2 linked regions of the Drosophila melanogaster genome follow. Changing the gene in region 2 together with the main gene of any one other region gives a genetic interaction. Each region holds a gene or a part of one and is shown on either strand. Other genes may lie near its edges.

Region 1 (8,283 bases), on a different chromosome or scaffold from region 2:
ACACGCACACACATTTGTGCTCCACATATTTGCCTTAGAATTTGTGTAATTCACCTGGGCATTCTGTGTTTTCTTAATTTACTCACCTGAAAATTTGTGTTTAGTGTGGGTGTTGTTGCACTGCTGGATGTTTGGGGCACATTGGCAGAGGCCTTAATTGACGACTGTCTGCTGATTGAAAACTCAATTTGATTGGCGCTGATTACGTTTTTGATTCAATGCGTGCTCTTAATTTAAATAAAAACCCAAAAAACTAAAGAAATTAAATTGTGATTAAATTCTTCTTGCTAGCGTCGACCAGTGTTGCCTAATGCTTAAAATGCAATTATAAGAGCGACTCTAGTGCAAGAAACGAGTAATCGATTCTGGTTCGATAGGCAACGACTTCGATAAGGCGCAAATTAAACTAGTTGTAAAGGTTTTACGCTATATGTTGTATGCAAGAAAATCAACATAATTTAGCTATAAATATAGGCTACACTTATTTTTAATTATAAGTCCAAATTTCTTAGTGCATAGGAGTGGAATAACTAATTTTATATCAGTTTTTGGAATGCCCCTAACATGTCCGTGGTATTATTATTTAGTAACGTCAGGGTCACACTTTTGTTTTGTTTTGCTTTGCAACTTGACTTTTAAAATTGCAATTGCAGCATGGCCGAAGAACCCGAGGAACCCGCCAAGGTATGGATTACATAAATCTATTGGACATCAGGTGCCTGATTAAGCTTTAACTATGTTTAATCTCCCATAGAGCTTCGTTATCTTCGGACGCGATGTGGCGCAGATCCCGTGCTTTCGTAACAGTTTTCTCTACGGAATCAGCGGAGGAATCGGCATCGGCTTGCTGACTTTTCTGGGCACCTCGCGAACCCACCTGTCCACCCACGTGGGCTTCGGCTCCTTCTTCTGCGGCACCATCGCCTACTGGATGACCTGCAGGTAAGTGACTGTGATTAAAACCGTGCGGCGCCCTTATCACTTAATTATCAATGTGGCATCCGCAGGTATCAATGGTCCGTCAGGAGATTCGAGCAGCAGCAATTGCGTGAGGCGATGAGACGACAAGCCCTTTATGAGGGCACCCAAAGGGAGAGAGACTTAGATCTGAAGTCGGCGTAGCATAAGTCAGATCCTTCATTACTACTTCGATGTTTGTTTTCACTCTAGGATACCAAGTAATCCTGGCATTGTTAAATCCCTTGTGTTGTAAACTACCTTTTGTTACCAAACTTTATAGTAGCCAATATATTATATATATGTTGTAAGTGAAATCTTAGCTTGCCACTCGTAGGGAATTAATTATGCCACCATCTTTGATTTGGGATTGACAGAAATCAATCCATCATTTTAATGATTGTGGTTCCTAAAACCTGTTGGGCTTTATTGTGCTTTCGATTTGATTTAAGCTGATAGAGCTAGTTGTTTACTTTTGAAGAACCTTGAACCCATTTTGACGACCTTTTAACTTTTTAATAGTTTTTTTTTACCATTTACATAAAAGCAAAATTTACAGTCTAAAAGTTGTATATTCAATACGTTCTGGTACGTAAAAGGGTTATTTAATGCACCATTTTTACAACTTTAGATAGTATACTTTTTACTTGAGTGGGAGCCATATCACAAAAATGAAATGAAAGGTTAAAAAAGTATCTAAAAGTAAGTTTCAATTAATATTCTGAAAAATAATTGCATTTCATGTACGTTTCTCTGAAATACCCCTAATTCGATACTATTTATAAATCTGGAAGATATATAGCTAGGAAATAGATTTATATATTTGCCTAGTTTGAACACCTTGTGAACATTTTGTTTAAAAAAAAAGCGTATCGTGGTACTAGAAAACTTTAAGATACAGATAAATAACTTCACTATACCGAGGTTTTGGTGTTTCTTGAGACTGAAGGACAATCTTCAAAATGGTCTTAATTCTTGAGATAGAAAAGCTGCAGTTCTCATGCTGAATAGTGATCAGTACGATTTTATCTGACAGATTGCTTTCCTAGCTGACCACACCGATCTCGGATGGGTATCTGCTCTAATCCGAGATAGCAGGTAGTAGAACTGCTGCCTCGTAACCCCTAGACATGGCCATTTCCACGCACATGTAGGCGATCCTGCACTCGTCGGTCGCTCGTCTTATCTCACAAAAATAAAAGTCGGCGTTTGGATGGATTGCTCGGCTGGCTGTTGGCACATTCATTACGTTTTCGTTGACGGCGCGAGACGGTTGTGTTGTTTTTTAATCGGCGGGCACATGAGGTTGTCGGTTCTCTAATTTTGAAATAAAAAACTTGTTTTCGCTTTACATTCAAGGAACGCACCTCCTCCCCTCCATATATGTAAACGAGCTTCGTAATTGCAGGCTAACACTTATATAGGCATTGGTACTGAGATACAGCGAGATACCGTGAGCTACAGATACATAGCACTTCACGATGTCTAACTCGGTTTTGGTGTTTTTCGTGAATGGAAAGAAGGTACTTAAAGATACTCGGATGCCTTGCGTGTCTTTCCTTAAAGTCGGCCCACTCCTACTATATCGATTCCCTTTATTGTTTTATTGCCCTAATTGCGTTTAACTGGCATTCGATGGAATTTGCCTTCTTGCTCAATTGAATGTGTCGAATGTATATAGTATTTGCTGTGCATATAGTGATAACAATTGACCCCCATGTGAAGCCTCGTTGTTTGCTGGTGGCCCCTTATCGCCCGATCAAGATGGTGCACTTGCCAATCGCGCATGGGAGCAGTGCTACTCGGATGTGGGTGAGCTGGGATCGTCATGGGCATTTGTGTCTGCCAGATAGCCAGGCCCTCTAATCCGCACATTCCCACCGGCTGTGCGGTGTTTACAATCCAGTGAGCTCGGCTGGATTATTCAGATAAAGCTGGCCATATTTAGCATCTGGTGTTGGTGGAGTGCAGTTGGAGTTCTTTACTTTGTGCTCACAGCTTGCGCACAAGTGAAGTAAATAATAATAAATAACCAGTTGCTCGTGCGCCCGGCATTTGATAGTGATAGATAGCAATCTCTGTTTGCTCAGGGCTGGCAGAGCAGATAACACTTTCGCTGTTTTAAGTTTAAACAAAGTCACAGTTTTGACAAACAATTGCTTTAAACCATATAAACTTATAATTATAGCAATTATAATTAAGTAGGTACAGATCTTAAAGCTACAAGATACAAGATACAAATTTTCCCATTAATGGATAAATGGCATTAGATACTTTTGGGAAATTGATTTCGTTTTTTTCATTTTATTATATTTATACATTTCTTATTCCAGGTGACCGAAGTGTCGCCTGATCCGGAGTGCACGCTCCTCACATTCCTGCGCGAAAAGCTGCGGCTGTGCGGAACGAAGTTGGGATGTGCGGAAGGCGGATGCGGCGCCTGCACCGTGATGGTGTCCCGCCTAGACCGTCGGGCCAACAAGATACGTCACCTGGCGGTCAACGCCTGCCTGACGCCAGTGTGCTCGATGCACGGATGTGCGGTGACCACTGTGGAGGGTATAGGGAGCACCAAAACGCGTCTGCATCCGGTGCAGGAGCGACTGGCCAAGGCGCACGGATCCCAGTGCGGCTTCTGCACGCCGGGCATTGTGATGTCCATGTACGCACTTCTGCGGAACGCGGAGCAACCCTCTATGCGAGACTTGGAGGTGGCATTCCAAGGTAACCTGTGCCGCTGCACCGGCTATCGACCCATTCTCGAGGGCTACAAGACGTTCACCAAGGAGTTTGCCTGCGGAATGGGCGAGAAGTGCTGCAAAGTTAGTGGGAAAGGATGCGGAACCGATGCGGAGACCGATGACAAGCTCTTCGAGCGCAGCGAATTCCAGCCCTTGGATCCCAGCCAGGAACCCATCTTCCCACCGGAACTTCAGCTGAGTGACGCCTTCGATTCTCAGAGTTTGATCTTTAGTTCGGATAGGGTGACCTGGTATCGTCCCACCAATCTGGAGGAGCTGCTTCAGCTGAAGGCCAAACATCCGGCTGCCAAGCTGGTCGTGGGCAATACGGAAGTGGGCGTTGAGGTTAAGTTCAAGCACTTCCTCTACCCGCACCTCATTAATCCCACCCAGGTGAAGGAGCTGCTGGAGATCAAAGAGAACCAGGATGGCATTTACTTCGGTGCGGCTGTCAGTTTGATGGAGATCGATGCGCTTCTGCGGCAGAGAATCGAGCAGCTGCCGGAATCGGAGACCAGATTGTTCCAGTGCACCGTGGATATGCTTCACTACTTTGCCGGCAAGCAGATCCGCAACGTCGCCTGTTTGGGTGGAAACATCATGACCGGTAGTCCCATTTCCGATATGAATCCTGTGCTCTCGGCAGCAGGAGCTCAACTGGAGGTGGCCAGTTTTGTGGATGGAAAGCTCCAAAAGAGATCAGTTCACATGGGAACTGGGTTCTTCACTGGCTATCGCAGGAATGTTATCGAAGCCCACGAGGTGCTGCTGGGCATCCACTTTCGGAAGACCACTCCGGACCAGTATATCGTTGCTTTTAAGCAGGCCAGGAGAAGGGATGATGACATAGCCATCGTAAATGCCGCAATAAACGTTCGCTTTGAGGAAAAATCCAACATTGTGGCGGAGATCTCGATGGCTTTTGGTGGAATGGCACCAACCACAGTGCTCGCTCCTCGAACTTCCCAACTGATGGTTGGGCAGGAGTGGAGCCACCAGCTCGTGGAGCGCGTGGCGGAGAGCTTGTGCACGGAGCTGCCTTTGGCTGCCTCCGCTCCGGGTGGCATGATCGCCTATCGTCGAGCTCTGGTGGTGAGCCTGTTCTTCAAGGCCTATCTGGCCATTTCCCTGAAGCTGAGCAAGTCAGGGATCACATCTTCCGATGCTCTGCCATCGGAGGAGCGAAGTGGTGCCGAGACATTCCACACACCAGTACTCAAAAGTGCCCAGCTCTTCGAGCGCGTCTGCAGCGATCAACCCATCTGTGATCCCATTGGGAGACCAAAAGTTCATGCGGCTGCTTTGAAACAGGCCACTGGTGAAGCTATCTACACAGATGACATTCCCCGCATGGATGGTGAAGTTTATCTGGCCTTTGTCCTTAGTACCAAGCCACGTGCCAAGATCACCAAGCTGGATGCCAGTGAAGCTCTGGCCCTGGACGGAGTGCATCAGTTCTTTTGCTACAAGGACTTAACGGAGCACGAGAACGAAGTGGGACCCGTCTTTCATGATGAGCACGTCTTTGCTGCTGGAGAAGTGCATTGCTATGGTCAGATAGTGGGCGCCATAGCTGCCGATAATAAGGCGTTGGCCCAAAGAGCCGCTCGGCTAGTGAAAGTGGAGTACGAGGAGCTGAGCCCGGTTATCGTGACCATAGAGCAGGCCATCGAGCACAAGTCCTATTTCCCGGACTACCCTCGATTCGTGACCAAGGGCAATGTGGAGGAGGCTTTAGCCCAGGCGGATCACACTTTCGAGGGCACCTGTCGAATGGGCGGACAGGAGCACTTCTATCTGGAGACCCATGCTGCATTGGCGGTACCTCGTGACAGCGATGAGCTGGAACTCTTTTGCTCCACGCAGCATCCCTCGGAGGTGCAGAAGCTAGTGGCCCATGTAACCGCACTTCCTGCCCACCGTGTCGTCTGTCGTGCCAAGCGTTTGGGAGGCGGTTTCGGCGGCAAGGAGTCCAGAGGCATCTCCGTGGCCCTACCCGTTGCCCTGGCCGCCTATCGAATGGGTCGTCCTGTGCGCTGTATGTTGGATCGCGATGAGGACATGCTTATCACCGGCACCAGGCATCCCTTCCTCTTCAAATACAAAGTGGGCTTCACCAAGGAGGGTCTGATCACTGCCTGCGACATTGAGTGCTACAACAATGCCGGTTGGTCCATGGATCTGTCATTTTCGGTAAGAGTGGTGGGTTTATGGAAAATCCATATGTAGGTTTCTTTATGCATACCATGTTTGCTCAAATATCCATGTGTTGTATTTTCCATTGAACATCTGGTTAGTGTGGGAATTTCTAGGACCCCTATATGTTATCATCCTGAGTGCAAATAGTTTGAAACTTTTAAGAATGTTTAGGTCTAATCAGGAAAGCAAGCACCAGGATTATATTGACATAAACAATTATAAATAATAATCTAAAAATTCTTAAAAATGATCTAATATATAAATCCTATGTTTAGGTTCTTGAGCGCGCCATGTTCCACTTTGAGAATTGCTACAGGATTCCCAACGTTCGCGTGGGTGGATGGGTCTGCAAGACGAACCTGCCCTCGAATACGGCCTTCCGTGGATTTGGAGGACCACAAGGCATGTACGCCGGTGAGCATATCATCCGGGATGTGGCCCGGATAGTGGGTCGCGATGTGGTGGATGTGATGCGGCTGAACTTCTACAAGACTGGAGACTACACACACTACCACCAGCAGCTGGAGCACTTCCCCATCGAGCGGTGTCTGGAGGATTGCTTGAAGCAGTCGAGATACGACGAGAAGCGGCAGGAGATTGCTCGATTCAATCGGGAGAATCGCTGGCGGAAACGCGGCATGGCGGTGGTGCCTACCAAGTATGGAATCGCATTTGGAGTGATGCACTTGAACCAAGCGGGATCGCTGATCAACATCTATGGTGATGGATCCGTGTTGCTTTCGCACGGAGGAGTTGAGATCGGACAAGGTCTGAATACCAAGATGATTCAGTGCGCCGCCAGGGCTCTGGGGATTCCTTCGGAACTGATTCACATTTCGGAAACGGCCACGGATAAAGTACCCAACACTTCACCCACGGCGGCGAGTGTGGGATCCGATTTGAACGGAATGGCCGTACTGGATGCGTGTGAAAAGTTGAACAAAAGACTGGCGCCCATCAAGGAGGCATTGCCTGGAGGCACCTGGAAGGAGTGGATCAACAAGGCGTATTTCGATCGGGTCAGCCTCTCGGCCACAGGATTCTATGCCATGCCCGGGATTGGATATCACCCGGAAACGAATCCCAATGCCCGCACCTATAGCTACTACACGAATGGCGTGGGAGTCACTGTGGTAGAGATCGATTGCCTGACTGGCGACCATCAGGTGCTCAGCACAGACATCGTAATGGACATCGGTTCCAGCCTGAATCCGGCTATTGACATTGGTCAGATCGAGGGAGCATTCATGCAGGGCTATGGACTGTTCACTTTGGAGGAACTCATGTACTCACCACAAGGCATGCTTTACTCCAGAGGTCCGGGCATGTATAAGCTGCCAGGATTTGCCGACATTCCCGGGGAGTTCAATGTCAGCCTACTGACCGGTGCCCCCAATCCACGGGCAGTCTACTCTTCCAAGGCAGTGGGTGAACCTCCGCTCTTCATTGGATCATCTGCATTCTTTGCCATTAAGGAGGCCATTGCAGCTGCTCGCGAGGATCAGGGCTTGAGTGGTGACTTCCCACTGGAGGCGCCTTCCACATCGGCACGCATTCGAATTGCTTGTCAGGATAAGTTCACGGAACTGGTAAGTTACCCTTGGATTAGTTTATAACATTAAACTAACTTTTATTATTAATTTATTAATTATAGCTTGAAATACCCGAACCAGGATCATTTACGCCATGGAACATTGTGCCTTAAAATTGTTTTTATTGTTTGTACTGCTTAAGCATTTAAAATGACGATTTTATTTGTTAATTTGTTTATATATACATAGTGAATTAAATGTTTTAAAAATAATTGAGTCGTTTAATGTGTAAACTAAGCTGGAGAGCTGTTTGAACAAATTTATATACCACTGATTAATATTAAATATTCCTTTTAGATTAAGAAAAATTCAATGGTTACTTTTTTGTTCTATCTATTATTCAATAGAATCTCGTGGCATGCAATGCATTCTGATTTTCAATTGAAAAGTCTTAGTCACTATTTATTTTGAGTATATTAATGAAAGTTGAGCAAGTTTTCCGATGAATTGAAATATGAGTTCCGATTTCGGCGCGACTGCTAACCGAAAATATAAGCTCAATCAAAAGAAGCTTTGTATGGAACTCAGGTTATGAGACGAGATCTTCGCGAGCATCTCAGTCGGCAATCTGACGTCGTAGAGCTCGGACATCCGAGATGGGAAAGCTATCATTTGGATACAGATTGATTTTAGAGTTCGTCTTAATTTCGACGTTAGCGTTCGTATCGGCAGAACAATTGTTGCTATCACTACAACCATTATTACAATAGATATGCACAGAATGCGCCTTGGAACGCAGTGGCTCCATCGTATCTATCGATTGACATATACGGAAATTGCCAAGCCCACGATCG
Region 2 (5,603 bases):
TCACTGTAGATTCGCAGTTTGGTATCTTTCACGCAGGTATAGGATTAGGTATGACAGAATTTAGCAAGCATCTTTATATTTTTTAAATTTATTTTTAGATGTTTACTTCAACAGATGAATTCTCCTAGTGTATTCATATCTCCTTTATATCTCGTCCACGTGCGTAACTTTTTTTTATTAATATACATGTTATGTATCTTTCCAGCATGTGTTAAAGTTAAATAAAAATCGTAGGTTTTGTTTATGTCTGTTAATCGATGGAAAGAGGTGCTCCACGGGAGCTCAACGGGGTGCTCCCCGGGACAGCACGAAAGGGTGCTCCACGAGCCGGCTGATCACTGACTGATCACTTTTCACTTTTTTTGCGTGGCGTTGTTGTTGCTCCAAGCAAAAGATTTTCCAGATTAAGTTTCCGCCTGGGAAAAAACACACAAAAAAAATGTAGACCGCATACCGTTTTGCGGCGAGGAAAGCTCGCTAGATTATTATATCATTAACGCGCGCAGGCTATAATTTTCTAAAAAACAGTTGAATGAAAAAAATGTTCACGAATTGACTTTACGACGGTTCGATTAGAAAAGAAATAGAACGGAAACTCAAGCCTGGGTCTAGGCCATCAGAAGAAATCATGATCATCTGGAAATCACTCCATTTGTGATAACCAAGCTATCCAAAACTTTCCTAGTTCAGCTGATAAAGATTTGCATCTCGTCCAGTATATTTCCTATGACTAATACTGCATTTAATATGACCCTTGATTACACGCCCAAAGCTTGGCTCAAGCTTTCAGGGTGTTCTAACATAATAGCTTCAGGGGTCGCTACAAACTCCACCTATTAACTTTAATTAACCCTAATTAACAACTCTAATTCCTCTTCCAATTTGCACACCAATGTTTTCTCTAAGCATAGCTATTCTGTTTGAAATAACTTAGCTAAATGATCGTCGAAAGTGCATTTGCTTAATACATATACATACATTCATACACATACATTCTTTGTCAAATCAAAACACAACCAAAGAAAATTCGATTATTCATCCGTTCTTTATGACAAGCACCACTGCATACAACTGTTTTATAACAATCTCCTTTAATTGGTCCCGTTGTAATAAGAAATACCACATTCCGGGAAGCAGATTTTGCTTAAGTGCTTTTGCATCTTGATAAAAAGGATGGGGCGGGGATGAGAAAAAAGAAAGTAAGAAAACGAAATGGATTATCGGATTTCCTGCGATTTTTATTATAGGTAATATAATAATTTCATGAGCAGAAAGAAATCTTTAAAGGTATAATAATATATTTTACTTTAAGTTTAATCGTAAACTGAAAAGAACCTGACAACAAGACGATGGAAATTTCTCTCTTCAAAAATAAGTACGGATATAGTGATTAAAACACATTGAAAAAGTGATGAATTGAGCGGTGTTTAAGCGCCATTGATATCAACTAAATTGTAGAGTCGAATATGAATATGAATATATGATCCAGAAAATCCGTTTGAAAAATTTATATCTTACTTCCACTTTCTTGTTTTTAAGGATAAACGCCTTTCATATTACTATGTACATATTTTAATTTTAACAGTATTTGATAATACTGCTTTACTGTGGATGAACTTGATAAGGATCGAACCGCTGATAAGTCTAGTCTCAACTGTGTCGATTTATAGTTCCCCGATATCGAAACTCGTCATAAAGTGTAAATGTATTTTTTATAGCGCCAGAAACGTTATCTTGAACCTTATTTTTAAAGATTACCTTTTAGTCTTCGAGTTGTGTTTATAATCACGTTCGCGAGCACAAAAGTGTAGATAACGTCGACTTAATTTTCCGGTTACACTAAAGAAACCAATTGAAATGATCTGATATGTACCTTACATATACATAATCAGTGTCTAGCGTCTTCGGATCGGACGTTAAGGACGTTAAGAACTTCCTTTTTGCTTTTGGCTTTCAGATGCCTAATGATTTTTTTTTTTAAATTAAGAAATAGAATATAAACGAAAAGAGAATGCTATAGTCGAGTTCCCCGACTATCTCAGCTAGTGTGAATGCGAACCCGAAATTGCACGATTTATTTTTTTTATTGGGATATCGATAGATGTTGGGGAATAAAATGAGAAAAAACTTAAAATTTGACCGGTTCGGCAGCTTCAGGACGTTAGAGTGGGCGTATCAAAAATTTTTTTGGAAAATGGATACATGGGTCAACCTTCTATCATTTATAGTGCCAGAGATCTCGACGATCCTACTTATGGCACATTCTTTTCTGACTCCACTTAGCTGAGTGATGGGTATATGATATTTCTGATTGTAGAGGAACTAGACTCTTCTCTCTTATTTTGATAAGCGAACAACAGACGCAATTCCCAAGTCCTTTGAGAACCACTCAAGCGTCGCCACTCAAGAGAAAAATGCCCCCACTATCACTGTCTCGCTCTACCCAGAAACCAACTGAGAAGGCGACGCCGTCACCGCTGTTAGTTGAACTTCACGCGTCGCCGGGTGTGCCGGGAAGTAAGCAGTCGCTGACGATCGGAAATCTAAAACAATTACAGCGAGTAGGGCCGTGTACGATAAAAAGAGAACACCAGCTGATAGTGCACGACAGCGGAACATTATTGTAGTCTCTCAACTGAGTATTTCGTACATTCACATATTTTGTTTACATAGTCCATGCAATGCGCATATGGCTGGGAACTGGAAGATTTACAAAATACGATTGGATACGAACAAGTCATAATAATGATTTAAATTTTAATGTTCTGAAGAGTTTAAAATGAATATGTTTTTAATATCAGAATTTTACGCAATTAAGCCTAAATGAGACTAACGCCAATGGTTCAGTGTGATACGTGAGAGTGAATACAACGAATGGGCGCTCCGTTGTGATCTCTCTTTCCAACGGAACGTACATATGTACATTCATATGTATGTGCATAGTTATGTGCAGCATCAGCAGCTGAGTAGAAACATATGAGAGAAAGAGAGCCGCGGTCGAAATTATTACTCATTGCCAAAGTCAAACCTGCTGATAAGGTCAGTGCACGCTCAGCGCCGGCATTGTTTTCTTTACTTTGCTTTGACTTGCGGTTAAACTCTCTGGTTGGTGGAGGATCTAATTCTTATTGGTAGTTTTCTCGCAAAACGCTACGTCCCATAGCTACATATTTACAAATCAAATAGATTACAAACCACATCAATTTTAATACACGTATGCATGCTATTAGAAATTATATTATGTTATATATACATGTATATATGTATATAATATAATGGGTTAAATATGCCAAAAAAAAAGGTGCTCTAGAACACCTAGCCAAGAAAATGAAATACGAGCCCCAACTACTATTATTGTTTTGTATTGTGTTTCGAACAGCATGTGTTTTTTGCGGTGTGCAATGTTCAACACACGATATGTATACTCATTACTACTACAGATAACGTATGCAAAAGTATTTAGTCTGAAAGAGAATTTTATTCTCTTCATGTTGATAAAAAATGTTATATTTTCAACAACAACAACAGAGATAAGAAAAAAAGGCCACTATTAATTCGAACGCTGCAAAGTATAACAGACTAATTAACATAAGAATTGTGTAACGTCGCGTCCTGGGCTGTATTACACATTAAATACGTTTTGGCATTGATTTAAAAAAATTTTGGCCATGTTCTCGAGAAATCGATACCCACATCTCTTTGAGGTCACAAATGTTCCTCTGTGGTTCATTCGAAGCTTTCTTTTCATTAGCCACCAAATATTGTTTATGGGGCCTAGATCTGGACTATCTAGCCAATCTAAAACCTCCACTTGCTTATATTGTAGTCAATTTTCCTACTGAATCCTTTCCCGAGCCCATTGCAAACTCGTTTTTTTTTTTGCGAAGCGTAAGCAAGGGTTTTTCCGTGGCCTACAAGTAGAGTAAAAGGGTATACTAGATTCTTTGAAAAAGTATATATATTCTTGATATGGATCAATAGCCGAGTCGATCTGACCCTGCCCGTCTGTCCGTCCGTCCGTATGAACGTCGAGATCTTAGGAACTATAGAAGTTAAAGAGTTGAGATTAGGGATACAGTTTTCAGAGAGATAGTTTTTACTATCTACTAGTTACTATTATTATTATTACTATTATTACTATTATTACTACTATTTACTATAGTACTAGTTTTACAATACCAGTATTTCGACACTGTTTTAATTTGATATTCGAAACCATAATAACAGTCGCAAAATGTTTGGATTGTTAACAATTTTAGATTCTTTGCCTTAGCCGTTTGTTGGCTTTACATTTTTTGGGAAGACAAATGGTAGAATATACAAAATGAAAATACAAAATGTGATCGTGTCAGCTTAAGCGATAATGGTAAGGTTTTGAATCAAACTTACATACATAGCGATTTGATTACCCTGTAGCTTTTATAGTTCCCGATATCTCTCGATATTCATCTCTTGCCCTCCAACTAGACAGGAAAAGGGTATCTTATTGTCTATCAAAGATAATAACAAGCTCTTCTGGCGATTTGATTGGCAACAATATGCTTTCGGTCAAAACCTGCCGAGAAAACCCAACGCTGATAACCCAACGGCACACAAGCTAGTAGGACTACTTTTGCTGATAAGCATACATGAATCAAATGAAAAAGGTTTAAATTGCCAGTAGAGTTCCACCAACGTGCGATCCGTTGTTGATAAATGCATATCTACATTACTTAAGTTGTGGAGTGTAATAAATTTAATTGGTTAGTCCTTAAATTCTAACAAGAGAGAATGCTGTATTCGAGTTCCCCGACCATCCGATACCCTTTACTCAGCTAGTGGGATTGCGAATGCGAAATTATTCATAAATGAATAAAATAAAATGAGAATGAAATGAAAAAAATTAAAAATTGACAAGATAAACAATAAAACGAAGAAAAATCGACAAACTTGCGTCTGTATGCTTGATTTCAGCCGTCTAGCTTTTATAGTTTCTGAAATCAAGACGTTCATAGTATGACGTTCATACGGATAGACGGCCATGGCCAGATCCTATTCAAGAATATATATACTTTATGTGGTTGGAAACGCTTCCTTCTGCCTGTTCCATATTTTTCCACGTATCTAGTATACCCTTTTACATTACTAGTAACGGGTATAATAAACAACATTTTGTTTAGCTATCATTATACGTACATTGTATAGAATAATCAATTTACCTTATAAGAGTTCCTTAAGAGTTAACTTAAAATGAAAACGTTTCTAATCTGCAATAAACTACCACTGTATTATTTAAAATTTTTGTAAAATCCACGTTTAGGCAATCCACGTTTAAGCAGGGTTTAACATATGGGACCATATAATCTTCTATGTAATTTCTTGCACGCTTAGCTTGAAGTTTACATAAAGGGGCTTACATAAATAGGATGCTGGAAGTGATCATGAATTCCTCTCCCTGAAAATTATTTTTTAAATGCTGCCCTTGTTACACATTTCCCTAGACATAAGGAAAACAAGAGAGAATGCTATAGTCGAGTTCCCCGACTATCAGATACCCGTTATCATTTTTTTTATTTACGTTATCAATATTAAAATGTTTATAACTAATTTCCAAAAGAGATACC

The links. A genetic interaction does not mean that the proteins touch.
Region 1: of ZnT41F (region 2) and ry, changing one suppresses a phenotype caused by changing the other (phenotypic suppression), as found in Drosophila melanogaster (one study listed by BioGRID).

The regions. Positions count from the first base shown.
Region 1 is NT_033777.3:13,030,328-13,038,610, forward strand, and holds ry (rosy), read left to right. Parts: upstream 1-2,200; 5' UTR 2,201-2,438; coding exon 2,439-2,480; intron 2,481-3,290; coding exon 3,291-5,891; intron 5,892-6,172; coding exon 6,173-7,486; intron 7,487-7,551; coding exon 7,552-7,602; 3' UTR 7,603-7,693; downstream 7,694-8,283. Other genes in the region: l(3)87Df (lethal (3) 87Df), read left to right, coding at 655-684, 755-942, 1,008-1,122; CG11668 (uncharacterized protein), read left to right, coding at 8,086-8,147, 8,200-8,283.
Region 2 is NT_033778.4:5,779,735-5,785,337, reverse strand, and holds the start of ZnT41F (zinc transporter 41F), read left to right. Parts: upstream 1-2,479; 5' UTR 2,480-2,561; exon of another isoform or gene 2,562-3,039; intron 3,040-5,603.